Canis lupus familiaris: one gene and its partners. The protein of the gene in region 3 purifies or fractionates together with the protein of the main gene of each other region. This does not show direct contact. Links are inferred from orthologs where the notes say so. Each region holds a gene or a part of one and is shown on either strand. Other genes may lie near its edges.

What was found.
Region 1: the proteins of CCP110 (region 3) and CEP290 purify together in Homo sapiens (co-immunoprecipitation; 6 studies listed by BioGRID and IntAct, with this or other methods). This does not show direct contact. The link is inferred for Canis lupus familiaris from reciprocal best matches to the Homo sapiens genes CCP110 and CEP290.
Region 2: the proteins of CCP110 (region 3) and CEP97 purify together in Homo sapiens (co-immunoprecipitation; 10 studies listed by BioGRID and IntAct, with this or other methods). This does not show direct contact. The link is inferred for Canis lupus familiaris from reciprocal best matches to the Homo sapiens genes CCP110 and CEP97.
Region 4: the proteins of CCP110 (region 3) and CEP76 purify together in Homo sapiens (co-immunoprecipitation; 4 studies listed by BioGRID and IntAct, with this or other methods). This does not show direct contact. The link is inferred for Canis lupus familiaris from reciprocal best matches to the Homo sapiens genes CCP110 and CEP76.
Region 5: the proteins of CCP110 (region 3) and CCNF purify together in Homo sapiens (affinity purification with western blotting; 7 studies listed by BioGRID and IntAct, with this or other methods). This does not show direct contact. The link is inferred for Canis lupus familiaris from reciprocal best matches to the Homo sapiens genes CCP110 and CCNF.
Region 6: the proteins of CCP110 (region 3) and NEURL4 purify together in Homo sapiens (affinity purification with western blotting; 4 studies listed by BioGRID and IntAct, with this or other methods). This does not show direct contact. The link is inferred for Canis lupus familiaris from reciprocal best matches to the Homo sapiens genes CCP110 and NEURL4.

What each region holds. Positions count from the first base shown.
Region 1 is NC_049236.1:29,576,426-29,581,764, reverse strand, and holds the start of CEP290 (centrosomal protein of 290 kDa), read left to right. Parts: upstream 1-1,871; 5' UTR 1,872-2,102; intron 2,103-2,625; exon of another isoform or gene 2,626-2,639; 5' UTR 2,640-2,667; coding exon 2,668-2,769; intron 2,770-2,919; coding exon 2,920-2,997; intron 2,998-4,030; coding exon 4,031-4,100; intron 4,101-4,364; coding exon 4,365-4,411; intron 4,412-5,339. UniProt on the Homo sapiens protein: Involved in early and late steps in cilia formation. Its association with CCP110 is required for inhibition of primary cilia formation by CCP110.
Region 2 is NC_049254.1:8,459,805-8,464,410, reverse strand, and holds part of CEP97 (centrosomal protein of 97 kDa), read right to left. Parts: intron 3,865-4,606; coding exon 3,751-3,864; intron 3,195-3,750; coding exon 3,028-3,194; intron 988-3,027; exon of another isoform or gene 792-987; coding exon 627-791; intron 1-626. UniProt on the Homo sapiens protein: Acts as a key negative regulator of ciliogenesis in collaboration with CCP110 by capping the mother centriole thereby preventing cilia formation. Required for recruitment of CCP110 to the centrosome.
Region 3 is NC_049227.1:25,963,905-25,968,510, forward strand, and holds part of CCP110 (centriolar coiled-coil protein of 110 kDa), read right to left. Parts: intron 2,421-4,606; coding exon 770-2,420; intron 1-769.
Region 4 is NC_049228.1:78,176,809-78,181,414, forward strand, and holds part of CEP76 (centrosomal protein of 76 kDa), read right to left. Parts: intron 4,551-4,606; coding exon 4,469-4,550; intron 3,841-4,468; coding exon 3,616-3,840; intron 2,455-3,615; coding exon 2,269-2,454; intron 413-2,268; coding exon 315-412; intron 1-314. UniProt on the Homo sapiens protein: Centrosomal protein involved in regulation of centriole duplication. Required to limit centriole duplication to once per cell cycle by preventing centriole reduplication.
Region 5 is NC_049227.1:39,032,112-39,037,403, reverse strand, and holds the start of CCNF (cyclin-F), read left to right. Parts: upstream 1-1,867; 5' UTR 1,868-1,910; coding exon 1,911-1,926; intron 1,927-2,549; coding exon 2,550-2,704; intron 2,705-3,916; coding exon 3,917-4,023; intron 4,024-4,910; coding exon 4,911-4,978; intron 4,979-5,292. UniProt on the Homo sapiens protein: Substrate recognition component of a SCF (SKP1-CUL1-F-box protein) E3 ubiquitin-protein ligase complex which mediates the ubiquitination and subsequent proteasomal degradation of target proteins.
Region 6 is NC_049226.1:32,490,204-32,495,577, forward strand, and holds the start of NEURL4 (neuralized-like protein 4), read right to left. Parts: upstream 3,341-5,374; coding exon 3,077-3,340; intron 2,955-3,076; exon of another isoform or gene 2,835-2,954; coding exon of another isoform or gene 2,727-2,834; intron 2,213-2,726; coding exon 1,768-2,212; intron 1,554-1,767; coding exon 1,488-1,553; intron 1,338-1,487; coding exon 1,039-1,337; intron 892-1,038; coding exon 780-891; intron 699-779; coding exon 610-698; intron 132-609; coding exon 59-131; intron 1-58. Other genes in the region: uncharacterized protein LOC106558815, read left to right, coding at 4,507-5,003. UniProt on the Homo sapiens protein: Promotes CCP110 ubiquitination and proteasome-dependent degradation. By counteracting accumulation of CP110, maintains normal centriolar homeostasis and preventing formation of ectopic microtubular organizing centers.

The DNA of each region.
Region 1 (5,339 bases), on a different chromosome or scaffold from region 3:
AAAGAACCAACTGGTCAAAAGCTATAAATTTCTACGTAAGGGGGATGCGATATCAGCATGGTTAAAAAAAAAAAAAAAAAACAGTACGTGGCATATAATCTCAGTAAAGGATACAACAAGATTATCATTCCTACAAATCTGATGAATGTCTTTGAAACATATCTGCGGAAATCATATCTGTTTTTATTTTCTCCTTGGCTATTTCCACCCAAACACGTGGTTTGAAAATGAATCTATGTATTTTTGGAAGGAAATTTGTTATCAATTACGGTTAAGAGGGACGCCCGGCTCCCGGTGCATGGAGCCTGCTTCTCCCTCTGCCTGTGTCTCTGCCTCTCTCTCTCTCTGTGACTATCATGAATAAATAAATAAAAAAAAATCTTAAAAAAAAAAAAAGGGGGGGGGGGGGGGGACGCCCGGGCCGCTCAGCGCTTATCGCGTGCCTTTGGCTCAGGCCGCGATCCCGGGGTCCTCGGACCGAGTCCCACGTCGGGCTCCCCGTGAGGAGCCTGCTTCTCCCTCTGCCTCTCTCTCTCTGTGTCTCTCATGAATAAATACATAAAATCTTTAAAAAAAAAAAAAGTTATAGTTAAGAAAAAATTCCTAAAAAAAAATATATATATATAAACATGAGGCACTGGTCCCAAACAATTGAGAATGTCATTTAGATTTCAAGTCTACAGGGACGCCTAGGTGGCTCAGCGGTTGAGCACCTGTCTTTGGCTCAGGGTGTGATCTCACCGTCGCGGGATCGAGTCCCACATCGGGCTCCCTGCATGGAGCCTGCTTCTGTCTCTGCCTCTCTCTCTGTGTCTCTCATGAATAAATTAAAAAAAATCTTAAAAAAAAAAAAAGATTTCAAGTCTACAGCCTAATAGAGTTCTGGAGTAGCCAGAAGAGCTAAGCGCAGTGGGATGAGCAACACCTGCCCAAAGGAACTGTGAACACCTGAGGAGCGCTTTCACCTGTGGGCATCGTCGCTGGTCAAGCAAGTGACAGGCTGAGGCAGGTGAGGGCTGCGGCCGCTCCTCCCTGCACCCCAGCGTCGGGATCAGGCTACACGAGACCTCAACACTCCTCCCTGGAGCGCTTCACCCCTCGACACCCACTCCCCACCTCCGCCCCCAGCAAAGGCTACGGTGCGACAGGTGAGGCGGGCAGAGGAGACCGTGTCCTCAGTTCTTCACTCCCCACGAAACCATGACCCCGGCCGCGCGGCCCCGACTCCACCGCACAGAGTAGATCCTGAAAGCAAAGAAAACTCAAACTTTCTTTTTTCTTCCTGCAGAGGGCACCGCCCGGGGGACGTCCGCAAACGCCTCAGGAGAAGGGGTCTGCCCCCCTCAGCCCTTCAGACCTGGACCGAGTCCTTCCGCCCCGACCGCGCGCGCTTCCTTAAGCCGGGACCGCTCCCCTCCACGCCTCCCCCGCCGCTGACCCGAGCGGCCCGACCTCACCTGGAAGCGCGTCCAACCAGGAGACGGCTTAGGGAAATCCCGGGAAAAGCGGCCCGGCTGGTGACGCCACCGAAGGCACAGTCATGGTCTACCTCATTCAGGTCACCGGCGCAGACGCGCCTCAGCCACCGCGCCTCCCGCCTCTGGGTCGTTCCCCCGCTACCCCCGCGCGGTCGCAGCCTCCCGCATTGCACGCCGGGAACAGCCTACCTCCCTAGACTTCAGTTCCCAGCATGCACGAGCTTCCGAGCAGAACTGCGTTCTGGGATTTGGAGTCCTTTTGCCCTCGCCTTCTCCCCGTCTTTCACACAGAGTCCAAGGGGCCCCGCGGGAGGATCTAAACGCAAAGCATCACTCAAGGTCGTGAAATGTAGGCTCCCCTCGCATCCGGGGCCTTGCGCCGTCCTTCGCGGGGTGGGGAATGGTGTCGCCTAGCAGCCGCCGCCGCTCTGGCTTGCACTGCACCAGTTGGCGGGATCCAGAGTCCCGGTGGAACGGCGCCGGGGAGCGGTCGGGCGTGGCGGCGGGGCCAGGCTCGACCCGGGGGGCGGATCGGGGGCCGCTGCTGATCGCCAGGCTCGGTTCGGTGGGTGGATCTTGGAGTGGATCTTGATGAGCAGGAGCAGCCAGTTTCTTCCCAAGCAGGTTCTTTAAGCCTCAGGGCCCGTACGTAACAGCCTAGCTTCCCCACTGCTTAGCCTGGTCTGCAACCCATCTGCCTTCTTCTAGCTGCAGCCCTGCTTTCCCTGGCCTAGCTGCGCTCATTTCAGTCGTTTATTTCTGCACTGTTTTTATTATTATTATTTTTAAACCGCTCCTGTTCTTGCTTCTCCGAATCAGGATTCATTCTCAGCCTTCCAAGCACCCCCCTCGTTTTGGCACCACTAGATGTTCGCGCGCCTTGGTGGTAAGGGGGCGTGGAGGAGGGGATTCAGAATCTTAGTTCTGCCCTAGGTTAGTTTTAGAAGAAATCACTCCTAGTTTACAGGCGGTGCAGGATCTGTTGATTTGTGCCAGCTGTCATAGTTTTGATCAATGCTATTATGCCCACTTATCTCTTATGCAATTAGGGAGCCATACCTCTTTGCTAACACCATAGAGAGTTAAAATGATACAATCTATAAAAATAGTAATGCTGTTTATCTTGAAAATGCTAACACCCACCTACCTGTCTTGTTCCAGAAGGTAAAGCGCAGTGAAAGATTTCAAGATGCCACCTAATATAAACTGGAAAGAAATAATAAAAGTTGATCCAGATGACCTGCCTCGTCAAGAAGAATTGGCAGATAATTTACTGGTTTCCTTATCCAAGGTGCTTAATTTATAAACAGTGCATCTATCTATGTACAACTGTGATTAATCCAAGTTGTCCCTGAGATCAATGAATGTTACAAATAGAAGAGTTTTTACATTTTGACTAAGGGTTATAAAACATAAAATAGATGCTTTTCTCTTTACTTAGGTGGAAATAAGTGAGCTAAAAACTGAAAGTCAAGAAAATGTGATACACCTTTTCAGAATTACTCAATCACTAATGAAGGTTTGTATGCAGTAGGTTTTAACAATATTTGACTATTAGAGGACATTTAAGGAGCTCTTAAATAAGTTAATTGTTATGAAGGTATTTGTAATATCAAAATCACTCAAAAAGAGATCTCTTTCAAATATGGACTGAGAATTTTAGTGTGCAAAGCATTGCTCGATTCTGCTCCAAAGTTCCTAAAAGAATGCATAAGGGAAACAGAATGGGTATGTTTAAAAATAATATAGCAACTCATTTGTGATTATGTTAACATAATCCTGAAGTCAGAATGAAAAATGTGAATGACTTGTAAGGGGTTTGTTAGGAGAGGAAGAGATTTAGGTGAGAGAAGGCCTCATAAAGGGCAAAGAGTGATGAGCAATTTTAGGTAAGTAGAAAGCAGTGGCAAATGTTAAAAAGCTTCTACAGCTGGACATCACAAGTAAAATCTGGGACTAGAAAATGTGCTTATTTTTTACAGTTGAGACAGGTGCAGAAAGTTTATAGTAGGTTGTAGAGGAAACTAATGTTGGTTATAGTTAGCAGTAGGCCGTCAAGGGTATTACAGGTGTATTTTATGTTGCTATTAGCAATGAGGAGCCATGAGAGGTTTTTGAGCCTAATTGATAAGTGCAAAAGTATGCCTTAGGAAGGCTTCAACTAGGTATATTAATAGGACTAAGTGAAGGGAATTGAAGCTATTTAGAGATAACATGGTGAAGAAGGTTAGATATAAGATTATGGGCTAGAATAATGACAAATGGAATAGAGAAACATAGTAGAAAGCATTACAAAGGGCAAAGTTACAGTACTGGATATAAGACTTGAGGGAGAAAAGAGGAATCAATATACTTCAAGCTGTTAGGAATCTAGGAATTATGTCCTTAAGAAAATCATCTATTCATTCAACAAATATTTACTGAAAGTCTCCATATCCCAGGCACTGAATGACAAATAAATATTGGGAAAGCAAATGAAACAAAGTTCTCATTTTCATTTTCAGTGTGTATGTAAAGGCATATTGAAATAACCTTTCTTTTTTAATGTTTAGATGAAAGCTCAAGAGGTTGAGCTAGCTTTGGAGGAAGTTGAAAAGGCTGGAGAAGAACAAGCAAAATTTGGTAAATGTCCTGGAAAAGTTTATCACAATGTTAAGTAGGGGGGCTTCTGTTTAATATACTCTATAAAATATACATGCTCAGTTTATTTTGTAAGAAATTTCTAGCATTCATATTTCCTGGATGAGGTATAAAAGTCATTTTTTCTTATGTTACTTATTATAATCATGATGGAGTCTTTAGAAATAATTTTATTACTTTGTTGAAATTTATTTAAAAGTTTGTTTTGAGATGAATCTGACCAATTGAAACTTTTTTTTTAAATAGAAAATCAATTAAAAACTAAAGTAATGAAACTGGAAAATGAACTGGAGGTAAGTTCTTTTCTATTACCTAGGGGGTAACTGTTGTTTATTTTGAATTACTGTTTTCGATTTTTTATCATTGGCTGGAAGAAACCACAAGAATGACATTGTGTTCATAATTAGTTGTTTGTTCGACATACATTTTACACGTTTACCATGTACCTTAAGTTCTTAGGATTGAACATCCAATAGTGAACAAAATAAAAATATTCAGTCACCCCCCCAAAGCTTACAATCTAGAGAGGTGTACAGAAGACTACTAGCAACTGAACTGAAGTGGAGGAACATGGGAATTTGAGGAATACTGGTGGAAGGATTTGGTAGAAGTAGTTTTTGAGAAAATTAGGAGCCAAATATGAATGTATTGTTAACCAAAGATTTTGAAATTCCTGACAATGTGGGAAGGAGTGTGATACAAATGGATTAGCCTTTAAAAGGGGGAAAGACCTTCTTCCCTTTTTTTTTTTTTTTAAGATTTTATTTATTTATTCATGGGAGACACAGAGAGGCAGAGACACAGGCAGAGGGAGAAGCAGGTGCCCTGTGGGGAGCCGGAAGTGGGACTCATCCCAGGACTCCAGGAACACGCCCCCAGGCCAAAGGCAGGCACTAAACCGCTGAGCCACTCTGGGATCCCGACCTTCCTTTGTAATGGGAAGAATGGATGTGTGCAGAAGCTTTTATGTTTATAGGTTTAGTACCTAGAAGTTGAGAGGTTGGAGTGAAGGCCCATTTACTAAAAATAAGAGTGGAAGATGTGTGATCAAATTTTAAGGAAAATTAAGCTTGAAATACTTGTGGAATATTTCAAGTACTCAGTGGAGAATGAGCTGGAGATTAGGGGATCTGGAGTCAGACAGTTTGAGTTCAAATCCTGATTCTTTTATTTACTAACTGTGAAGTGGGATGAGTTATTTTTGTTCCCTATAATATATCT
Region 2 (4,606 bases), on a different chromosome or scaffold from region 3:
GTGTTGTACACAACTGATGAATTATTGAACACTACATGTGAAACTAATGATGTACTATATGTTGGCTAATTTCATTTAAAAAAATAAAAATGAAAGTAAAATAAAAAACTCATATGAAACACCTACATTAAAGGGCAAATATATATTTTTTAAAAATCCCAGTGTCAGGGCACCTGAGTGGCTCAGTTCCTTGAGTGACTGACCCTTGATTTTGGCTCAGGTCATGATCTCAGGGTCATGAGATCAAGCCCTGAATTGGACTCCATGTGCTCAGCACAGAGTTTGCTCCAGATTCTCTCTCTCTCTCATTTTCTTCCTCTGCCCCTACCCCTACTCATGCTAATAAATAAAATATAAAAAAAAAAAAAAGAAAAAGAAAATCTCAGGCTCCTCCTATACTGCTTGACTCTCACTACTCAGGAAATTAACATTGCAGCTGCTGCAGAGCAAGCTTGACGGCACTGCATGGTTTAGTTCCCCAATAGGACTGCTGCAGTGACAAGGGGTCCCAGTGCCCAGAAATGGGGGTCATAGCACTTCATTCAGTCCTACTTAACCCATGCAGGAAAGACTCAGAATTATTTTCACTTATGATTTCCTCAGCTGCTATAAATAAAGAGGCTTACCTCTGTTTGCTCAGAATCTTCTCTAGTTTGGCATCCTCTGCAGTTTGAAGACCCAGCGTGGAAGTGAGAGGACAGACTGTAGCCAGATACTGGACAAGCTGGATATGCTGGCCTGGCCGATATGCTCTCCCCTTGCCTTGACTATAGAGCCATTCAGCTTTCAAGCTGGATTTGGAGAACATACAGTAGAGGAGATGACATCAGCATAGACAAGATATATTTTGAAGCAACAATGATCTTCCTTCTTAATTTACAGCATCACTGGATGACTTATAAATAAAATTCAGTTAAGTTTTAAAAAAAAATCTTTCCTTCTGATTCACTCCTTTTACCCTTTATAATGTTTTAAACCTTTTTCTTGCTTAGGGGGCACTTCCACAGAATTGCATTCATTGTTCTAAATATTTTTAAATTATTTTCAAAGAATCAATGAGTATTTTCTCTCTTCACTATCAAACTAAAGTACTTAAATACATCAATTACATTTAAATCCAAAGTTCATGACAGTTAAAAGAAATGCTAATTGGTCACAGCTGGAGGATGCTAGTGAACCATCAACTCATCATTTTTATTTATTTATTTTTAAAATATATTTATTTATTCATTAGAGATAGATAGATAGACAGACAGACAGAAGGATAGACAGAGAGAGAGAGAGAGGGAGGGGCAAAGACATAGGCAGAGAAAAGCAGGCTCCATGCAGGGAGCCCCATGTGGGACTCGATCCTGGGCCTCCGGGATCATGCTCTGAGCCAAAGGCAGACACTCAACTGCTGAGCCACCCAGGCGTCCCTAGTATTGTAATTATTTCATTAAGAGCCCTTATCTTTTAGAGATATATGCTGAAATATCCACAGTTGAAATTACATGTAGTTTGAGATTTGCTTGAACATAATATAGAAGAACATAATATAGCAAACTGTAGAAATTGGATAATGGATTCATGGGAAGTCATTACATTACTGTTTACTTTTGCATATATATTTCCATTTTTTTTTTAATTTTATTTATTCAGGAGAGACATAGGCAGAGGGAGAGGCTCAACTTGAAGTTGAGGTTGGATCATTTTGGTATTCTTTTTCTATTTTTATAGCATTAACTCAGCATTATAAATAGTTTGAAAATTACTTTCAACCCACAGCCCTTTACTTGGACTTTGATATTAAGTTATCGACATCATACGAACTCTACAGTTCAAAACTGTCAAGCCACCCAAGTTCTATTATGGACTAAAAAAAAACTGGACCATTAATAACTGGTAAAATCATGCAAGAGTCATGGTGTAAATAAAATAAAATGAGATTAGTTTTACGTGATTTGCCAATATCACAAGAAAGGAAAAACTTTTCCACAATGAGATATGAAGCATGCCTAGCTGATTAACTGATATCATGAACTCTCAAACTTAGTCTAAGGATAAAAATTTTATTCTACCTAATAAAAATAATTTGAAGTATTTCCTCCATGAACGAGTCCATGTATTAAATAAAGATCAGGGCGCCTGGGTGACTCAGTCAATAAGCGTCCAACTCTTGATTTCCGCTCAGGTCATGATCTCAGGGTTATAGGATCAAGCAAGCCTTGCCCTTGGCTCCACAATGGGTATGGAGCCTGCTTAAGATTCTCTCTCCCTCTGCACTTCCTCCCACCCACACTCACTCACTCTCTCCCTTTGGACTGACATTTGGGTTGTTTCCAAATGTACCAAATAGCTCTGAAATGTTTGCAGCTATTATGAGTAAAGCTACTAAGAACATGCTTGTGTATGTCTCTTGGGACACATAAGCACCTATTTCTGTAGGGTATATACCAGAAGCCAGATTGCTAGGTCATACGGTATTTGCATATTTAGCTTCACTAAATATGCCATTTTTTCAAAGTAGTTGCACCATTTACACTCTGAGAACAGAGTACGAGAGTTCCACATACTCATACTCCACATACCCATCAACACTTAATATTGTCTGTCCTTTTAATTTTAGCTACTCTGCTGGAAGTTGGCTGAAACTCCCTAGTAACCAGGAAAAAAATAATCTTTCTGAACCATCAAAAAGTGAGTACATTAATTATCTGAGACTCTATACAGCATCCATATAATTTCAACAGAAAATACTCTAAGCCCCGCAAACTACTTAACAAAAGAACTTTCAGAAATCAAATTCTTATATGTTGGGCATTAAGTTAAACTCACTAAACCCTACCTCTCGGGCTGATATTGATCTTATTTTTTCTTGGAAAGGATAGAAAATCCTAAATGACCAGTATATAGTTTCCTATATGATTGCATTAATAATCTTAATTTATAAATACACATTAAAAAAATATTCAGTTTATTAATCTGTAGTAAGCAGTCTTTTCAAAACAACCATGATAAATGTGATGTTAAAGACGTCATGTTCACCTTTCCTTCTGAGAAATCACATATCCATCTAGGACTCTGAGGTTTAAGCACCAGCTGACGATGTATGGCCGATAGTCAAACCCTGGAATGGATGGTGTTGCCATCACACAAGGATTGTTCATGATCGACAACTGTTCCAATTCAGTTAAGGATGCCAAAAAAGAGATCTGGAACAAAGGATATCTTTGTTGAATGAAATGGACTATTTAGTATCAAGCACAGGGCTTCCTTTGAGTACATATCTTTGGTAGTTTGAGAATGTAACAATTTCCCTCTTGTTCTGAAAAGCAACAAGTAACACTCTGATATTATCCACTGACTTTCAAAATTCCATCAGTATGACTATTTGTCCCTGCTGCACAAAATCCCTTACAGAGTATCAGCAGTGTTTTCTAACAGAGAAAATCCTATTTTGAAGACATAATAGCAGCAAAAGTGCACAGTATCACTTATTGACCCCTTTAATGTAGTTACACCTCTACCACAAATCAGTTCTGGATGGAATGATAGTTGCAGCATTACAAATGAAATTAAGCCTTAATGACCCACTAACATTAAGAAAAAGTAGAAAGAAAAATAACGATCATTTTGAGTCAAGTGTTTCATCTTTTTGGTAATGTCTTCCAAGATATACACGGTTTATAAATGAGGTCACAACTCTCTCCTGAGTCTCTTCCATACTTTGCAGTTTCCTGGATCCCACAGAATACCCTCAAATTTTACCTCATTTAAGTCCCGGATTTCATTTTCTGCCAAGGAAAGTATAGCAAGACTCCTGGGTAGATAAGCAGGTGCCATTCTAAGAGAGGTGATGATGTTTCCATGTAAAAGCAGGGTCTTGAAAGTAAAAACAGGATGAATTACAAATAAAAAGATTATGATCTATTTTGACATAACCAAAATGGTGCATATAAAAATAAAGGAATCTATTTTATTAGACTTTTCATCACTTAAAAAACAAAGACTATTCGTGCTACAAGGGTCCTAGGTGATCTTCTGGTCCAGCTCTCTCTTTTCATGTCCATATTTTAAGCTCAAGAAAGTTTAAAGATTTGTCCAAGAACACATGCTTGGTGTAACTAGCATTTTTTGAGATTTAAGTTATTAAAACTTGAGCAATCTCCAACATATTGCTCATTTCCTTTTAAAAAATCAAAATTGGGGCACCTGGGTGGCTCAGACAATACAGCATGTGATTCTTGATCTCAGTGTTGTGAATTCAAGCCCCAGGTTGGGTGGAGATTACTTAAAAATAAAATCTTAGGGGATCCCTGGGTAGCTCAGCGGTTTAGTGCCTGCCTTTGGGCCAGGGCACGATCCTGGAGTCCCACTTTGGGCTCCCGGCATGGAGCCTGCTTCTCCCTCCTCCTGTGTCTCTGCTCCCCACCTCTCTTTATCATAAATAAATAATAAATAAATAAATAAATAAATAAATAAATCTTTAAAAAATACAAAATAAAAAAATAAAATCTTAAAAAAAAAATCAAGGGGTACTGAGGTAACTCAATTGTCAAGCTTCTGTTTCTTGATTTTGGCTCGAGTCATGATCTCAGGGTCATGAGATCAAGCCCCTCGATGG
Region 3 (4,606 bases):
CGTGAAGATCTCATTATATATGAAACAATAGGGACGCCTGCCTGGGTGGCTCAGCGGTTAAACGCCTGCCTTCAGCTCAGGGCGTGATCCTGGAGTACCACGATCGAGTCCCACATCGGGCTCCCTGCATGGAGCCTGCTTCTCCCTCTGCCTGTGTCTCTGCCTCTCTCTCTTTCTCTATGTCTCTCATGAATAAATAAATAAAATCTTTAAAAATAAATAAAACAGACTGATGAGAATATTAGAAACCACATTCCAAAAGGAAGACATCATAGCAATACACTACATTAAAACTATGATATTTCATATAAGAACTCTTTCCTCCAGTCATTAACAATATTCTCTGATACAAAGTGAACTGTGATTCATATTTTAAATGAGAAAGCTTTAAGAAAGGCTTTCAAATGGCAATAAACTATAGCTAATTATAGGTCCTCTGATAAGAGAAATGAAATGAAAAACCCTGATGATCAGATGAGACCATTATTATTGTTTTTCAAAATGTGAATTAAAAGTATTCAATAAAGGTGGGTGAAAAAATGATGCCTAGAGGCCCATGGTGGCTTAGTCAGTTAAGCAACTCAGGTCGTCATCACAGGGTCCTGGGATTGAACCCCACATCTAGCTCACTGCTCAGCCTGGAGTCTGTTTCTCCCTCTGCTCCTCTCCTCACTCATGCTCCAGCTCTCTCTCTCAAATTAAAAAAAAAAAGTATTCAATAAATGTGCCATCTGCTTGGCAGGTATCAAACACTTCAAAGTTTCCTTACCTTTGGAACTACTTTCTAACATTTTATTCTTGTTGATGTAGACAGATCCCTTAGGGTATCTTTTTTCTGGCAAATATTGCCTTTCCTGTTCAGCTACTCCAGTTGTTAAGACATAAGGGCAGTTTTCTTTTTGCAAACTATCAATATCTAAATCAAGTCTCCGTTTAACTTTCTCAAAACTGTTATCCAAAAATGGTTCATTTCCACAGGACACTGTAGGGGTGTCCATCTGCTGTCTGGTATTCTGGTTTTGCATGAGTAAAGGAGATGGGTTTTTTACATCATAAGACTTATTCAGTTCCATTTGTAAATTACAGGTGTTTTTCTCTAACACATTGGCTGACTTGAGTCCACTCATAGTTCCAAAGTTTTGAGTCACTATACACTGACTGGTGGCATATGGCTCAGGCAACCTTGGCATTGCAGTACATGTACTGTCCATTTTGAGTGGTCCTCTCCCATCAGATGTTAACTGACCTTCCACGATAGCAAGTCCATGGATAACCTTCTTTTCTAACTGACTTCCTGAAGACTGGCATACCTGATTTGATTTACCTAAAACCACTTCCTGTATGGCTTCAGATGTATTTTTGGTGACACAGACCTTGCTTGAACAAACTCCAGCTAAATCAGCTGGTAACTTTGGCACACTTTCAGGTATATTTGTTTCTTCATCAGTAGCTTGAACAACTAAGTCTACCGTCTGTTCTTTTCCTTTAGGACTTAATTCACAGGCATTTACTGGGTTATTTATAAGTATATGACATGCTGATGATGGCCTAGAATGCCTTCGATGCATTTTAGGACTCAGGCTTGGCTCTGGACTAGGTAATTTGGCATACGAACCAGTAAGACTTTTGATAACATGATTTTCGGGAACAAAAGTGGGAATGACTTTAAAATCAGAATCGAGGTCTAAAACAGTGCAATGGCCAGTTCGTACAGGTATGTCCACTTTAGAAAAGCTACCTAAAACGGACATATTCACACCGCTTGCTTGAGTAGAAGCACCTTGGAGGAGAACATTTGATTTATTAAGGCTTGGTTTGTCAGGAACCAGAGAAGCACAGTGTCTGCCAGCCAGCTGCACCTTCTCCCTCCCAGAGTCAGTCCCTTTAACAGCCTCGTTTTCTTTATCTGAATGACTCTCATAAACACTTCTTTTCACACTACTTCTCAGACTACGTCTCGATTGTTCTCTTTCTATATATTCCTTTGACTTTTTCATCAAGTTCTGAAGACTCATTATGTAGGGATCCGGAGTAACTTCTTCCGAAAGTGATGGGTCCTGTTCTTCATTGGTTGGGAAGAGACCATTGGGTGTGAGAGTCTCCTGAGGGGTTGTGGAGGGGGTCTTTACAGAAGTTTCATTTTCCACAGAGCTAATAATATCTGAACTATCACAGTGCTTCAAAGAATTAAATTCTGAGTCCCTAGTTAAGTCTACCCCATTAGATTTAAATTGGTCCTCATTATTCAATGGCAAAATTCCAGTTATCTTTTCAAACTTTCCTAAAGTAGAGTGCTCAGTAGGGCTTGGCAAGATATTTGGAAATGTAGCAGGGACATTCAAGTTTCTGACTTCTGAATCAGAGTAAACTGTTTCAGTCTCCCACGGATCAAAATCACTGGCTTTAGGTGCTTTTCTAACCTGGAAAAGGAAATTTTAAAATTAGTATTTTCTTACTGCAGAGAAAAGCCTTTGATTTCATTGTTTTCTAAAATAAAATTGAAATAGAAAATTCAAATATTCTAACATTTGAGAACACAAAAACTAAGATAATCCTTCTCTATTGTATCCTATATCACAGAGCTCAAATTACTATTAAAAATGGCTACTGATAAAATTTTTAAATAAAATAATTTAAAAAAATACAAACATCCCAGCCTATTTATTAAAAGAGTATAAGCAAGAAAGGAAATGATCTAATCTGATGCAAATTTGTACATATGGGGACGCCTGAGTGGCTCAGCAGTTTGGCACCTGCCTTTGGCTCAGGGCGTGATCCTGGAGACCCGGGATCGAGTCCCACATCGGGCTTCTTACATGGAGCCTGCTTCTCTCTCTGCCTATGTCTCTGCTTCTCTCTGTGTATCTCTCATGAATAAATAAAACCTTTAAAAAAAATCTGTCCGTATGTGCATGGGTATACACACACATATATATTCACATATCCATGCACAATTTAATCTTGGAATCTAAGGGTTTTCTTTAACTTTCTTCTGTATTATATGTTATTAATGTCACCACTGTTCTCCTATGAAAGCTATCAACTAAGGATACTGATATATGATATAAATAGCACATAATTAAATTTCTCAAATGACTCTTTCTTTAACAAAGACTAACTTACCCAGGATATAAAAATAATTCAGTAATCAGACTCTTGCCTCCCATATGCTTACTCCAGATTTTAACTAAAATCCTTCTATGAGGGATCCCTGGGTGGCGCAGCGGTTTGGCGCCTGCCTTTGGCCCAGGGCGCGATCCTGGAGACCCGGGATCGAATCCCACGTCGGGCTCCCGGTGCATGGAGCCTGCTTCTCCCTCTGCCTGTGTCTCTGCCTCTCTCTCTCTCTCTCTCTCTCTCTCTCTGTGTGACTATCATAAATAAATTAAAAAAAAATATTAAAAAAAAAAAAAAATCCTTCTATGATAAGGCAAATTTATAGTAAATGATAGCTCAGCCATGTAGCTTAAGTTACTAAGAAATAAGAAAATTTTCAACTTAAAATCCAACTCATCAAGGCAAATTTCAATTTGATTAACTGATGATCATTTTAAACAGCAACCTGTTAGAGTTTTAGAACAAGAAAATAAGTAAAAATTTATAAATTGAGAACTGAAATCCAACAGAAAAAATAAAATTACATCTTCTATCTAAATAATTTGACCTTGCAAAAGAATAAAGTGAACTAGGATGGTTTTTAAAGATTACACAGGATATATTAAACTGACGGGATATAAAAATAAATAAATAAATAACACTGACGGAAATTATCATATTATCATATCAATACAGACTCCAGAATCCTGAATATTAAAAAAGATTTTTAGGTTGTTATGTATGTGTTATTTTTCCCTAGACCATATGGCACTCCTGTTTTACCTTACAAATCCCAAGACATATAATGGTTTCTAGGTACTATGCAATAAACAGCACAACAAAGTATACTTAGTCACAACCTCAAGACCAAAATAAAACAAAAGGGAAACATATTCACCATGTCCATGAATATGTTTACAGGCTTACATAAAATAAATTGTTTCCTTAAAATATCTCAAAGTTCACATTTGTATATACAGCAGCTATGTTTTTGGTATAGTACTAAAAGGAGTTTTTGTTTAGAGAATTTAAGAATAAAAATATATCACAGAATGATAGGTTTTACAGAGACTGAAGAAATCTGTTTGTTTGATTTAAAATTTCTCTATATCTGCATATAATTAATTCATTACTCTCTAGTTTAACACTGTACATGCTCTATTAAATGTTGGAAGTTTTAAGACTCAACAATCTCATTACTAGTACATTTGATATATTCCTTCACTGGACCAATAATTATATGCCATTTTGTTTCAATAATAGGAAACATCTAGTAAATCCAAAGTCTACCCTTATTGTGCTGCACTGTATTTTTTAAACTTAATATAGTCATTACAATCTGCAAATTAAAATCTACTACCCACAGAAAAATGAAGGTAGCAATTAGTGGGAAACAGCCTAAGGTTTGTTGTACGTGTATCATCTAGTATGAATTATATAAACTATAAAACAAACCCTAAGGAAAAAAAAAAAAGTTAAGATGTAGCCAGCAAAACAGAGCTACATAGAG
Region 4 (4,606 bases), on a different chromosome or scaffold from region 3:
CTTATTCATTTATTTCAGACAGAGTGAGAAACATCACAGAGGGAGAGGGAGAAGCAGACCCCTTGCCCAGGAGAGAGCCTGACGTGGGGCTCAATCACGGGACACTTAGACCATGAGCCGAGCCAAAGGCAGATGCTTAAACAACTGAGGCACCCCAAGATAAAATTTTTTTAATAATAAATTGTATTGTCATTCTCTTGCTTAAAACCAGTTAAGTGGTAATTTTCCAAAAAGAAATTACTTTCTAGGATCAATAGATAAATATACTACTATGAAAACAAATACACAAAGAAGAGAAATTCAGAATCATTTACCTGTGTGTTCACTACTTCCTGAGATAATGTCTGATTGAGTGGTGGGTACATCTCAAGTTTTATATTTAAAATACCAACAGAAACTTTTGATTCTGTGCCTATAAATATAAACAAATATTTAGAACTTCAGAGGTTTCCAGACTATGTATATTTAGTCAACCAAAGTCTAACCAAAATAATCTAAGAATTTTGGCTTTACCACTTACGTGAAATACAGATAATATTCAACATCTTTAATATTCATATTAAAAACAATTCAAATCAGTTTTTATTTTGCATAAAGACCTTGATCTAGTTGTAAGATTATCTATTTTTTGAGCTTGCTTATTACATTTTAAAGGGCTATTTGGATCTAAAGGATTTGGTATTCTTAATTTTTATCTTCATTAAACGTATACCAACCAGATTTACATTAAAAACAAAGTAAAGCAACTGTTAACATCTGGTTCTCAGGAAATATTTATACTTTGTCACATATAATAATTCCTTCCCATTTTTCGCATCACATCCATACCTGGATTTAAACAATTTGAAAACAAATACACTTTTTACAAGAACTATCTACTATTCCTCTGGTGAATCAGAATATACTTGTTTCTTGGTCACTACTATGATAATCATGTTAGGCCTATATTTGAAGACAAATAATGTGTATCTTTTGGAAATACATATATCCCACAAAAAACTTGTGCCCTTACTTTCTATTTAAGGAAAACCACATTCTGGGTATGACTTATCAAAATCTAAAGTACTAAAGCTATACCGTCCACCAACCAGGTTTGACTCTGTGACTTAGTTTCAATACCAAAGTAATTCCCTTATATGTTATGCATAAAATACTGGTAGGTTTTATTCTATTAGAAAATACATATCACACATCAGATAGTTCCCAAGAGTCCAAGGAAACAATGGTGAATAAAATAGGCACCATCTCTCTCCTCAAGGAGTATTATTCATAGATCCTGTCAATGAACAAGTCAGCACCTCTTTGAGTCCCATATTCCCACATGTAAAATGTTGGAAAAGTATCACCTCCATATTCTGTAAGAACCACTGCTGCAGGAAGGCACTGATACTAATGGGGGATGCACTGTACACTGGAGTGTGCTGGAGTAGAGTTTTTACATATGCATCTGTGTGAAGAATCCTACTGTTCTTTATAGCCTTATATGCAATCAAATAAATTTGAAGAAAAAAAATAAGCCCCTGAAAAAAAAATTTTTCCTTACAAGATCAGTTTGACTGTATAGTTCTATACCCTTTTTTTTTTAAGACTTTATTTATTTATTCGTGAGAGACACACACACACAGATTGAGAGAGAGAGAGGAGGCAGAGACACAGACAGAGGGAGAAGCAGGCTCCATGCAGGGAGCCCGACACGGGACTCGATCCCAGGTCTCCAGGATCAGGCCCTAGGCCGAAGGCAGTGCTAAACCACTTAGCCACCCAGGCTGCCCTAGTTCTTTACTAACATGCTTCACGGCATTTCCCAAGACCCCAATACTAGAGTCCAAATGTAATTTTGATGAAATTCTTTTTTTAAGTATTTTATTAAGTATTTATCTATTTGAGAGAGAGGACGCACACAAGCACAAGAGGAAAGGGGGGAGGGGAAGAGAGAGAGAGAGAGAGAGAGAATCTGTTTTTTTTTTTTTTTTCTATTTTTTTTGAGAGAAAGAAATCTTAAGCAGACTCCTCCACACTGAGCCCAGAGCCTGATGCAGAGCTTGGATCTCATGACCCTAAGACCATGACCCTAAGATCACGAACTGAGCCAAAATCAAGAGTGGAAATCTAGAGTCGGATACTTAAGTGACTGCACCATGCAGGCACTCCCTAATGAAAGTTTTTTTACATGTTTCCTGTTTGGTTTACAAAGGCATTCAGAAAACATAAAATGCATTTATAAACAAGCTATGGCTATAAAAAGGTAACAGTGATGAATCATCATACCTACACCCATAAGCTCCACAGTAAGACTGGTCACTCCATTTTCTGAGCCCAAAACTGATCGCCATTCGAGAAAATAGGATGCTACTAAAGTAGTCTCACCAAATATGTCTGTTTTGATTAGCACCATATGAACTGGATCACTTATTGATAACATTGTTGTTGAATCAGCCATTCTAGTTCCATCACCTGGCAACATAAACCAAATGCATCACATTACATATTCCATTAGACCAACATAGAAGAATACGTTTATTGCAAAGGATACTAATATACTTACATAAAACCAAATAAAATAATTTGGTAATGCCTCAGAAACCATGCAACAGATTACTTAATTTAAAAAGTACAATCCTGGGGCGCCTGGGGAGCTCTGTCAGCTAAGCGTCTGCCTTTGGCTCAGGTCATGATCTAAGGGTCCTGAGATGGATCCCCAGGTCACACCCCCTGCTCAGCAGGGAGTCTGCTTCTCCCTCTCCCCAACACTCTCTGCTTGTGCTCACTTGTGCTCTCTCAAATAAAATCTTTAAAAAAAAAAAATAAACAGCCTTATTAGGGTAACCTTTTTCACCAAGGGCAAAAAAATCTTTTCATACTGTATTAGCCATCTTAGCAATCTAAATTTCTAAAGGTGTAATTTTTTAGCTTTGCTAAGCAAACACATTATTAAGATTTCTATATTGAAATAACATAAAATACAGTTACAGAAATAATATAAGAATTATAGGAATCAGGTATATAATTTTAAAAAACTAGTTACAGACTCCCATCTTACCTTTATTTCTCAAAGTTACATAACATGATAAACCTAGCTATCCTTCATAAATGAGAAGAATTATGTCTTGTTCTTCACTAGATCCTCAGCACTTGCCTAGTACAGTATAACGCATCTAGCAGGCATTCATTGATTGGTTGATTGACTGATTTTGGGGAGGGGGGCGGAGAGGGAGAGGGAGAAAGAAATCTCAAGTAGACTCTGTGCTGAGCGCAGAGCCCGATGCAGGGCTCAAACCCACAACACTAAGATCATGCATGACCTGAGCCAAAATAAGGAGTCAGATACTTAACCGACTACAGCACCCAGGCAACCCCCTAACAGATATTTAAATGTTTACTACTTAAGAAGCAACCATTAAAACAGTAAAAATAAAAAATCTTAAGGAAAAATTATTTAGCAGAAAATAAAGCAAAAAGGTAGAAGTAATTTATGTAAAAAAGAGCAGTGGAGAAAATAAAAGCAAAGTAGGAAGATTCAATCATCATAAAACTCTCCTTCTAGCAAAAGTTATGTTACCATAAAACCTAACAAATATTTACTCAATTAAATGACAAGTTATTATTGCTCCTTACCTAAGCTTTCTCTGTGTACTTCAAGTAAAAAGCCATCATGAAAATCTGGTTCACAGGCACATGGAACAGGTTTAGAACGAAAACGTTGGTTTCGAAAATGTAAACATAGAGTAAAGGTTGAACAAACTTGTCCAGGTAAAGGCTCAGGTTCTTGTAGATGTTCCAAGAAAGCTTTTCCACCCAAAACCTGAAGGTAAAGATACCTCCGTGTTGGATCAATATTAGCTGTAAAGTGTAGCAATATATATGAGGAAACTGCCAAACAACTTAAGGAATGTGATCAAGACAATAGGAAATAATAACTTGACAGAAATAAAACCAAAGACTAAATTAAAAAAGTAACAAATTTACTGTATACCAGGACCATTTGAAACCAAGAAAGAAAACATACACAATAAGATATATTTTTATCGGAGTTTTTATATTCTGGGTACTTTCTCCCAGCTAGAAAAGAGTCAGAGCCAAGGCTTAAGAAACCTTTGCTCTTCAGGTGCTTATCTAATAACACGCCTTCACCGCCAAAGCCAAACCAAACAAATATAAACTCAGCAAGTGTACTTTTTAGGCAATTACCGTTAAAAAAGCAAAGCTGTACAATGTTTATAAAACATATTATTAAAACATGAGAAACAGGTAATTCTGTTTTTGCTTCCACTCTGTGATATACTAAAGCTTCTGACATACACAACTTGGTGCAAAACAGAATCTAAGTTTTTTGGATGATTAATTACAAAAATGGTAAGAATCTCATTCGAGAAGGAAAAAAATGGTTTTCATCAAATACCAAACACTACAGCACATCAATATGTAGTACGGTGCAAAACGAAATCAATGTTAAAAGAAATATACATACTTTTTTTTAACAACGTTGATTGTCTATCAGTAAAACAAACAGGTTGTTTTGGAGAGGAAGGTAGTTCTTGATCAACACTGTCCTAGAAAGGTGGGAAAAAAGATGAAAACAAATTAGAAAACAAAAATTATAGCTAAG
Region 5 (5,292 bases), about 13 Mb from region 3:
AGCAATCTGTGTTGTAGGGACCCCATGTTGACAAGTACTTCTGAGGCAGCTCAGGTGTGAGAGCCACTGAGCCCAGGCCTGAGAGCCGCAAGGCCAGCCTACGCGCCCAGACGGATGGGACCATGCGCCTTTGTCACAAGCACGCTCCTCTGAGACGTGCCTGTCACAGGGCCTTTCTCCAACATGGTCCCACCAGTCCCTTCTAAAAAGCCCTCTCGGCTCTTCCTCTGCAGCTAGGTCTCTCCCCCTCTTCTCAGCCAAGCTCTGGAGGAGTGGTATCTACTGTCTTTGACCAAACTTCTACCTCCCATCACCACTCACCCAACTTGACAGCACTGTTCCACCTCGTGTTCCACCCGAGGTTTCTCCATCCTCTGCAGAGCATCTGGTTCTCCTCTCCTCTGAATGGTGGGATTGCTCTGGCTCTCAGAGGCTTCACTATCCCCCAGCCTCTGTCCCTGCTGTCCTTGAAACTTTCTCATTCGCCGCCCCCCGCCCCCCCACCCCATATCCTCAATGGCCACCTTCTTCCAGCCAGGAACATCCCTGACCCTCAACAATCAAGACCTTCCCAATGAGTTCTCCCATCCCGCTGCATGGGTGCCCCGTGGTAAATGTACTCTTCTCAGCCTCTGGCAGTGGCTAGTCACCCCACGGGGCCCCCAGGGCTCTTCCTGCCAGGGCAACGTATGCAGGTGAGAGCGCACAGCATGGTCAAGGAAACAGCACTGGTTTTCTGGAAAAATAAGAAAACTTGACCTCTGAATAAATAAAATGATGGGGACATAAATGACAAGAGAGAGGACAACTGAGGGAGGCCGCTCTGGGCTCCCGGGGGGCGAGTGGGTGTGGGGACCAGGGTTTATGACCCTTTGAAGGCCTACCATAGTCTAGGCTGGAAGGGTGAGCCCCTGCCCAGAGGGAGACCAGCAACAAAGTCACAAGGGTGCAGGGGAGGAGGACGACACAGTAACAAGGCCGACACAGTAACCAAAGGCGCCAGGAAGGACGAGACACCTGGAGGGTCCACCGTGGGTTCTCCGCGGGCTCCCGGGTGCACCAGGGGCCGCCCGGGCTTCCTGTGCGCACCGCCTTGCCCCTCCCTCCTCAACCCCGACTGCCGGGCCTGGCCCCCGGGCTCTGGGACATGGGGACCCTCCGACACCGTGTGTGACCGTTTGCTTCTGTGTCCCCCGCTGCAGACTAGCGCCTCGCACTTAGGTGCGCGGCCGCCCAGCGGGGACCGGGACGGGGACGGGGACGCGGAGGGGAGGGGAGGGGAGGGGGGCAGACCCGGGGCGCGCAGGGGGGGAGTGAGCAGAGCGTCTCCGGGAAAAGCGCCGCGGCCTCCTCTGCCCGGCGCTTCCCCCGTGGGGTCGTGCCGGCCCAAGGGACGCCGTGCTCCGTGTGGCTGGCGGCAGCCGGGGGGCCGGCGGGCACGTCCTGCGGAGGCACGGCGAGCCAGGTTCGCGTCCCTGAGGGTCCCGCGCCCCGGTCCACGGTCGGCTGCGCGCGCGGCCTCGGGGTGAGCGCCAGGCTCCGGGGCGCGCGGCGGAATCGCCGGGCCCACGCGCGCACACGCCCCCGCCGGCCCGGCCCCGCACGCTCCCCGGGCGCCCCGCCCCACTACCGCCCTGGCCGGGGAGGCGGGGCGGCCGCGCGGGCCCCACCAATCAGCCGCCGGCGTTCGAATTCGCGTCCCGGCGTGGCCAATGGCGAGCGCCCGGAGCAGCGGGTGGGCGGGGCGGCGGCCGGGACCCGGCGGCTCTGGGGCGCGCTCCCCCCGCGGCCGGCCAATGGGAGGGCCCGGCGCATTTGAAAACTCGGGCGGGCGGCGGGGCGGGTTTGCGCCTGCGCGGGGCGCGCGGGGCTGACGGCGGCCGGGGGCGCGGGCGGCGGCGGCGGCGGCGATGGGGAGCGGTGGCGGTGAGCGCGGGGCGCGGGCGCGGGCCGGCGGGCGCCAAGCGGGGCGGCTCGGGCCCCTGGGCCCGGCGTGGGGGCGGTCCGGGGGCGCCCGCCCGGCGCGTGGTTTAAATGCCCGGCGCCGCGGGTGTGGACGGGCTCGGGGGGCCGCCCGGCGCGGGGGACGAGGACAGCGCGGCGGGACCTCCAGGTGCCCCGCGCGGCCCGTTAATTGCCGTGGGCGACCCCGGGGCACAGCCGGTCGGGGCAGGAAGGCCTGCAGGTCCCGCGGGCGGGCGGGCGGGAGCAGGGGGCGAGCGGGGCGAGGGGCTCCCTCGGGGCGGTCCCGGCGCCCGACCAGCGCGGAGGCCCGGGCCCGAGCGGAACCGCCGTCCCCAGTGGCCGGGCTCCCTGAGTACTTGCTGCTTCCCCTAAGCCCTTGAGGAGTTTGAATGAACGACGGTGCCTGCCGGAATTGGCGAAGCCCTCCTCCTCTCTCTAACCTTTGTTCGGACCTGGAAATGAGGCGGGTTCGTTGGGGGTAGGGTACGGGGACCGTTCGGGGGTCTTCAGAGACAACTTTGCACCTCAGCCTGGCTCCTTCCCAACACGCCCCTGGACCGCTCTGCTCTGCTCTTCTTCCTCAGTGATCCACTGTCGGTGCGCCAAGTGCTTCTGTTACCCTACAAAGCGAAGAATAAGGAGGAGACCCCGGAACCTGACCATCCTGAGTCTCCCTGAAGATGTGCTCTTTCACATCCTGAAATGGCTTTCTGTTGGGGACATCCTCGCTGTCCGAGCTGTAAGTTGCCGGAGGAGAAAAATAGCGCCAGCCCTAGCTTGTTGACCTCACAGGTGGTTTACACCATCAGGGCTCAGGGCTCTGGGCTCCGTGTTCTTAGATGTCAGAACAAAATCTTGGCTACAGAAGAGGGCAGAGGCTATAAGGACGAGGATGGTAATAGACATCTGAGGTTGTTGCAATCTGCAGGAAAATAGCTAAGCTGAAACAGTGCAATATGTTTTGAATCGCTTTGTTGCAATGTTTGTTCTCACAGAGAAAGTAGCCTACAGTGGCAGTGAAATGTTCACCTCTTAAGAAATAACATAGTATTAAGAAAGAACAAAAACATATTCTGGAGGACAATCACCTGTGATGTTGAGCCTTGAAAGGGACCCTGGGAGGTTAGTTTGCAGAAACTCGCCTCCTGCTGACTTACTCAAGGGCATGCACAGCAAATCAGTGGAAAAACACCCAATGGGAACCTCCCAAACCTGCTTCCACCGTGGTCATAATATCCACAGATGCTGAGTTTGTTTTTTTTTTTTTAATTTTTATTTATCTATGATAGTCACAGAGAGAGAGAGAGGCAGAGACATAGGCAGAGGGAGAAGCAGGCTCCATGCGCCGGGAGCCCGACGTGGGGTTCGATCCCGGGTCTCCAGGATCGCGCCCTGGGCCAAAGGCAGGCGCCAAACCGCTGCGCCACCCAGGGATCCCCAGATGCTGAGTTTTTAATGGCGATGGGAACTTCAGCACATGAAATGCTCACCTGTGCTCAGGGCTCCCAGCTGGGGCACTTCCTGCCTCTGCCCAATGTGGTGTTAATTTTTTTGGTCTTTTCCTGAATTCTCTGCTGTTCTCCAGGCTCCAGCTGTGTTCCCACTAGCAAGGCCCCAGGGATAGGAGCACAAAACAAATTTCTGTTACACTTGCTCCTGTTAGATCCATTTCCCTAATCCTAGGAGGTATATGCCCTGACGAGTGTCACCACCCCTTTCTCCGCATAGATGCTCATTCTCCCTTCCAGGACCATTGGCCTTGCCTTGAGAGCCACAGAGAAATTTGCTCCTTCCGTGTATTCAAAACAGCTATTACTTTGATACACGGGTTCTTTCCCACTGGGGTGGGGAGTTGTCATCTGTCTGTCCCATGGTCAAGATCTCCAGGAGCGGGGCTTCTGGGGGGTCCCTTGATAATCTCTGCCCCCACCCCACTTCCCTTGTTCCACAGGTACACTCTCACCTCAAGTATCTGGTGGACAACCACGCCAGCGTGTGGGCATGTGCCAGCTTCCAGGAACTGTGGCCTTCCCCAAGGAACCTGAAGCTCTTTGAAAGGTATCTGTGCACCTGAGGGCACACAGTTCCCCAGTGTGCCAGCCTGCGTCCCAGCACTTGACCTGGGAACACTTTTCCTCACCCCCCAGGGAGTGACTGAGGGCTGGCAGCGTCACCTGTAGAGTCACATGCAGCACAGTCACTGCCATGCATGCCACCAGCACAGCCTGACTCATTAGTCACTGTCATGCTTCTGAAGGGTCTCACTTGGGCTGGGACTAATCTGCGTGACTCAAATGCAAGTCACCTGCATGTGGAAATTTTACTCAGCCCTCCCTCTTTTTTTTGGTCAAAAGTATATGATTTAACTCCTCTTGCATTTTAGTCCGTGGCTGATCCCAATTCCTGCCGGGGTTGGGACCCAGGGGGAGAGATGGAGTAGGAGTGAGCCCCTAGGCCTGTGGGCCCCAGTGTGCCAGTGGTTCCAGACAGGCTGCCTGAGACATAAGCGACGTACTATATACCATTCATCCTCTTAAAGTGTGCAACTCACTGGTTTTTCATAGATTCAGAGTTGTGCAACCATCACCACTAACTTTAGAACATCCTCACTACCCCACAGTGAAGCCAGAACTAGTAGAGGTCGACCTCGGTGTCCACTCCCTATTTTCCCTGCAATTTTCCCAGCCCCTGGCAACCCCTAAATCTGCCCTCCTGTGTGTGGATTTACCTCTTGTGGACATTTCATGTAAGTGGAATCATACCACATGTGTGTGACCTTTTGTGGCTGACTTCTTTGGCTTGGCACATCATTAAGGTTCAGGTGTCACGGTTGAGGGGTATATGACTGTGTTACATTTAAAAAATCCTCAGTTAAAAAACAAGTGTTTTAGCTTCAAGTGCTGTGTCAGACAACATCAGGTGACGCTGTGTTTTTAACTGTCTAGGGCTGCGGAAAAGGGAAATTTTGAAGCTGCCGTGAAGCTGGGCATAGCCTACCTCTACAATGAAGGCCGTAAGTCCTTGCGGGGCTGGGCTGGCCTTGCCCCACTGGGTGCTGAGCACGTAGAACAGGCATGAGCCCTTCCCAGTGGGAGCCATTCAGTCCTTATTCTTGCTTGTCCGGCCATATGCCTCTCCCCTTGTCCACTGGACCCCGCAGGTTGTGTGTAGGTGCTGGGCCCTCTCCTTCCTTGGCCACAGTTCATCTGTGCTGACTGGGACAGCAGTCAAAGGGTGCCTGATTCTACAGGGTATTAATGACGCAGTAGCCACGGCTCCAGGGGAAGGCAGGTCAGAGCCAGCCTGGTGCCTGAGCTCCTTCACCCC
Region 6 (5,374 bases), on a different chromosome or scaffold from region 3:
GACCCCTGCCCAACACCGAAAGCCCTAGCCCAATGGCCTGCCTCAGGTATCTCCTTACCCTGATCAATGCCATTGATAAAGAAGTGCAGGGCTGAGTTGGACTTCCTTGTGAGACCAATGTGGTCGCCCTCCTAGTCAGAGCAGAAAAACAAAGATCTGGAATCCGCCTCCAATCAGGCTCTGGCCCAGGCCGCAGGGGAACAGCCCCAAAGGCACCTGAGTCTTGAGCCCCTGAACCCTCCCTCACAGCAAGTCTGGCACAGGGTGAAGCCACCTCATACACAGCACCTTAGCCACCTCTCCAAGCAATTCATGAGCTCATCTCAGGCGTGGAGAAGAAAAGAAAAAAAGAAACCCATACCAAACATAGTGAGCAAGCTTCTTGACTGTAGTCATGACCCCACACGACCCCTCAGAAAAAAAGAAAACCTCTGGCTCTGAAATCTGAGTGCCTAACTACCAGGCAACCGTGCCTTCTCAGAAGGAACCTCTCGGAGAAAGATCAGAAGCCTTGTTCCAGGTCACAGCGGAGACTGGGGTGCCCGGGCAGGGGTGCTGGGTAACAAGGCTGCCCCAGAGCGCGGCCCAGACTGCACGCCCACCCCTTACCTGCAGCTCATCCAGGCTGAATTCACAGTACTCCCGGCGGGTGCCCTTGCCATTGGTCAGGATCCCACAGCCGCTCATCATGATGGTGCCTGTGGGAAGGCAGACGCCCGGCATCAGGCCAGGCCTTCCTTCACCATGGGAAGGTGTCCCCGCCCCGCCAGGGCTGGTACCTGACTGTAAATTGGTCATGGTGGCAGGGTACTCCAGGTTGTTGGGGTTGTGGGTGGTGACACCAATCTCAATGGAGCCCGACCACTTGTCTACGAGCTTGTCAATGCGGATCTTGGGGGGAGCGACAGCAGGAGGGAGAGGAGGGCATGTCAATGTGGAGAGAGGACCCTCGGCCCCACCCTTCCAATGTCAGGGATCGAGCCCCATTTTTGGTTCCCAGAGGGTGAGGTACCAGCCAGGGCCCAGGACCTCACACACCTCAAACATCTCATTGTCCCGGAGAGGGCGGTTGGTCATGACAACCCCGTTGTTGAATTCGTCCAGGGGCCGGCGGCGCTCAGCTGTCTTATTGTTGTTGCTGAGTTTGATGAGAGTCCCACACTTCTCGTGAAAGAGCAGGGCGTCGTTGGAGGTGAGGATGGGCGAGGTGGCAGCCCCGCCAGACCCCAGTCCTTCCCCTGCCGGTGGGGAGCTCAGGTTCACATTTAGGAGCCCCCCGTTGTAGGCAGAAAGGATGGCGTTGCCCACCACCTCAGAGAGCTCCATGCTGGCAAAGTCTAGGCGGCAGGACAGGGGAGGGAAGCCGGAATGAGGCTCTACACGTTCAGGCCCTCCACTCTCCCCCTAATCCTCTCCTGAGGGCCCCCTCCCCTCACCTTCCGCCTCACTTCCCATTCCCCTTCCCAAAGCCTCCAGGGTGCCCTCACCATTATGCGACTCAAGGCTGTTAGGAAACGTCTCCGGCCGGGGCTGCGCTGGGGACACCATGAAGGCTGGGGACCAGGCGGGGTGGGAGGGGAATGAGGGTCCAGCCCCTGCTGCGGGGCCCACAACCAGGACACCCCTCCTGTAGCCCCTGCTTCCCCTTCAGCAGACTGGGGTCTGAGTGGCCCTACCCGAACCCAGACTCCATGGTCACTAGTCACCCATGCCTTCTGCCACTCCCCCTGCCCCGCCTCTTCCCCTCGGCCCTGGCTGGGTTCTCACCTTCATCCCCAGAGGTCGCCTGTTCAGTCAAGGTGGAATCTTCAGGGGGTGCAGAGGGCTCGAGGGGAGGTGTGGGGATGGGAGCAGGGGGGCTGAAACCTGGCTCGGGGGGCAGCACGGTGATCTGGGTGCACTTGCCGTAAAGGTCCACCACGGCCCAGACCCGGGCGGGGAGGCCCGTGGCGGCAACACCACAGTCCCGCCCATTCACCCAGAGCCGCAGCTCCCCAGCAACTGTGCGCTCCACGCCCACACGGTCCCCTTCACCAAGCTGGTCCAGGTCCTGACCATACTCCTCCAGCACAGAGCGTCCATCCCTCAACACCGAGCAGCCTGACACTACCCATGAGCCCCCCTTCAGCCCTGTGGCGCTGCTTGGGAAGTCCAGAACACTGGGGTCTAGGGCCGTCACCCCAATCTCAATGGAGCCACTCCAGGAGTTGACCTGTGATAAGGGTGGTGGACAGAGGCTCAGGATGGGCTACCGTGGGTCCCCAACCACTAGGAAACCACATTTCACAAACCACGTGTCCCCCTCTCTCCACACCCCTAACAGCTAACTGGCTTTTCTCTATTGAGACCCAAGACACGACTCTAGAGAGGTGGTCCTGTGAGCAATCATCTGGACTGTCTCAGGGACTGCTGGGCCCGCTGTACCCCAGCAACTCTGCCCCCACTCTGGGATCTGTCCCCAACACCACCATGCCCTGGCTGCAGCCCCCCTGGCTTCCAGCATCCAAGTTCCCGGCTCTCCATGCCCATCCTCCTAGCTCCTGTCTACCACCCTCCTCCCCCCTCCCAATTCCCCCCACCCCCGACCTCATTTTCTCCAGGGCTCCTGCTCCACTCAGATTCCCTCTCTTCCCAAGTTCCATCTGTGTGCACCTGGCCTCTTCTCCGAGGGGCACACAAGCAGGCACACCTCCCCTCGGCCCCCCTGAGGGTCTCTCCTCACCCACCTCTTCGCCCCAGCTGATCCTCCAACGGCCGGTCCTTCCCCGGCTTCTCTCCTGCGCTCCTACCACATCCCCGACATCCCTCCATCTTTTCACCTCCCCAGAAACCATCCCGGGAGATCTGGACCCTAACCACCCCTGGGGTGGCAGCGTCCCGTGTCCGTTCCCTGCTCCGGGGTCTCGAGCAATCTAAAGCTCTCGCCGTCCCTCTCCCCTTCCCCGCCCGCCGCCTGGTGCCGCGACGGTGTGTCGGTTCGCTCTCGGCAGCCGGCGGCGGAGGCCAGCCCGGCCGTCCCGCCCCGCGTCTCCCGCTCGCCCCCTCCCGCCTCCCTCCCGCGGGCCCCGCTCCGCACCTTGCGGTCGATGCGGACGGTGAAGACGCGTCCATCGCGCAAGGGCTCCCGGCTCAACACCAGCCCGTGGTTAAACTCCTGGCCCGGCTGCTGCCGCCGCGCGGTACGCCCGCAGGCCGACAGGCTCACCAGGCGCCCGGTGCGGGGGTGCAACTCCCCGCCGGACCCCGGCCCTGCGCCGCTCCCGCCGGGGCCCCCACCCCCGCCAGGCCCCGGCCCGGGGCCACCCCCGGAGCCCCCGCTCCCACCCGACCCCGCCGCCATCGCCGCTGACACCGGGGCCGCGCGACAGCCGCGCTTGGCGGCACCGTGGCAACCGCGACGCACAGACACCCAGAGGGAACGGGATTCCGCGCTGGGGCCGGGTATGCTTTACGGCACTGCCGGGCGAGGAAGCATCCCGGGCTAGGGAACTAGTAACCCACCACGGTGGGAACGGAGGACGACGGGGTCGGGCAGGCTTGCTTTACGGCACGGCGGGGTGACGGCGAGGCTCTCAAAGGCGTGTGGGCTAGGACAGGGAGCTTTTGCGACAGAAGAGGAAACGACAGCCGCAGGCCCCTTTACGACGCAGGGGGTCCGCCCCACCTTCAGCTTGGCAACAGCGGCGCCGACGACCCCGCCCTCGCCGAGGTACGCGGCCCCTCTAGGAAGCCGCTTTACGGCGGGCGGAGGGGGTGTGTTCCCCTCGCGCCACAGCCTTCGCAGTGGGTGAGCAGCGGCCTTAGGACCTGGGGAAGGGAGCCGGGCGCTTTATAAATGAACACCTCGGCGCCGCGCGGCTACGTCTTTGCGACACTGTCGCAACCTCGTCGCTTTGTATCACACCTCTCGTGAGGGGCACAGCAGGCCAACTTTGGGGAGGGGGCCGGCGGAGGCTAAAGGGGTTGGCAGTACTTCCAGATAAGCCCACCGTGAACTCCCATCCAGCCAGACCCTTAAATCTTAAAGCCACGGATAAACAGTCCAGTGAAACCTTGGCAGGTGGTTTCCAGCAACGGCGCTGAGGAATTGACCCCCGCCCCCCCAAAAAGACCCCCGAGCTAGGAACAAGCCCCCAGCCCAACTCTGCGAGCTCGCGCTGAGGCTGAAAGGCTGTGACGTCACAATCAAGGCTTTTCGCCCGTAACCGGGACCCCCGATTGTGATTGGATAATTCGGATGAAGGCGGTGATGGGGAAGAAGGGCGGGAACAAATCCCAGAGACAAAGAAGGCCTTTGGGTGGGACAGAGAGAGGCAACCAGAGGGCAACCCCCCAGCCCGAGGGCCCTACTTAGAGTCTGGAACCCCGGATCGCGGCCCCGGAGAGCGGAGCGGAAGTGGACCCGGGCCTCTGCCAGAGCGTCCCCCGCCCGGCGCGGTGGGGGCGGGGCCTCGGGGCGGGGTTATGTGGGGGCGGGGCAGCTGAGAGGGGCCCCCGGGAGGGGCCATGGAGAAGCCGGAGGCTGTGGGGGCCGCTGGCGGCCTCGGTGGGGAGTCTCCGGGAGGGGCGAGCAGGGGAGCGCTAGGAGGCGTCGGAGGAGTCGAGGCAGATGCCGGGCCGCCCTCCGGTGCTGCCTTGTTTCACGGTTCTGAGCCCCCCCTGCACTCTGGAGGGATCGTAACTCGCAGTCCTAGAGTTAGCCGGCCCTCGGCGAGGGTAGCAGTCCCCGGTTCCGGGCCCAGCCAGCACCCTGGGGAGGTTGCGGGCCTGAGCGCCGGGTCCTGCCCAAACCCTGACGGATTCAATGCCCCCTTCCTTGGAACCAGTGTATCCGGGACCTGCGGCCTCGGGTCTGGGGGCTCTGGGGTGTACAACTCGGGATGCAGTCCGCCGCGCTCCGGGTCAACTTGCTCGCACTCCCACAAACCTGGTGAGGGCCGACCCCGGAGCATCCTAAAAAACAGCAGCTCCATCTTGATGCAGAAGTGCCTCCATGCGGACAAGTAAGGAGCCCCGCTCAGGGGGCAGCGGCGCGGAGCCCGGAGGGCGGGGTTCCCGACACTGGAGGGGGCGGAGCTAGGGGAGAGGGTGGTGTCCTAAGAACTAGGAAGGAGAGCGGCTGAGGGCTGTGAGCTGGGAATTCTCGGGTTCCAGGCTCTCTGGGGCCGCAGCTGGGGCCCAGTAAACGTTGTCAGGCCAGTATGTGATTATCATCAGGTATGGCACCCTCGCCTCGCCATCCTCAGGCTCCTGCGCCTCTGAGATCACGAGAGGATACAAGAGAAAGGTTTTTGAATAACTGAAGGAACGAGGGAGGGTTGTGAAGGGAAGGTCACTGGAAGATTTCCTTCTCCTCTCTTGGGTCCTACCCCTA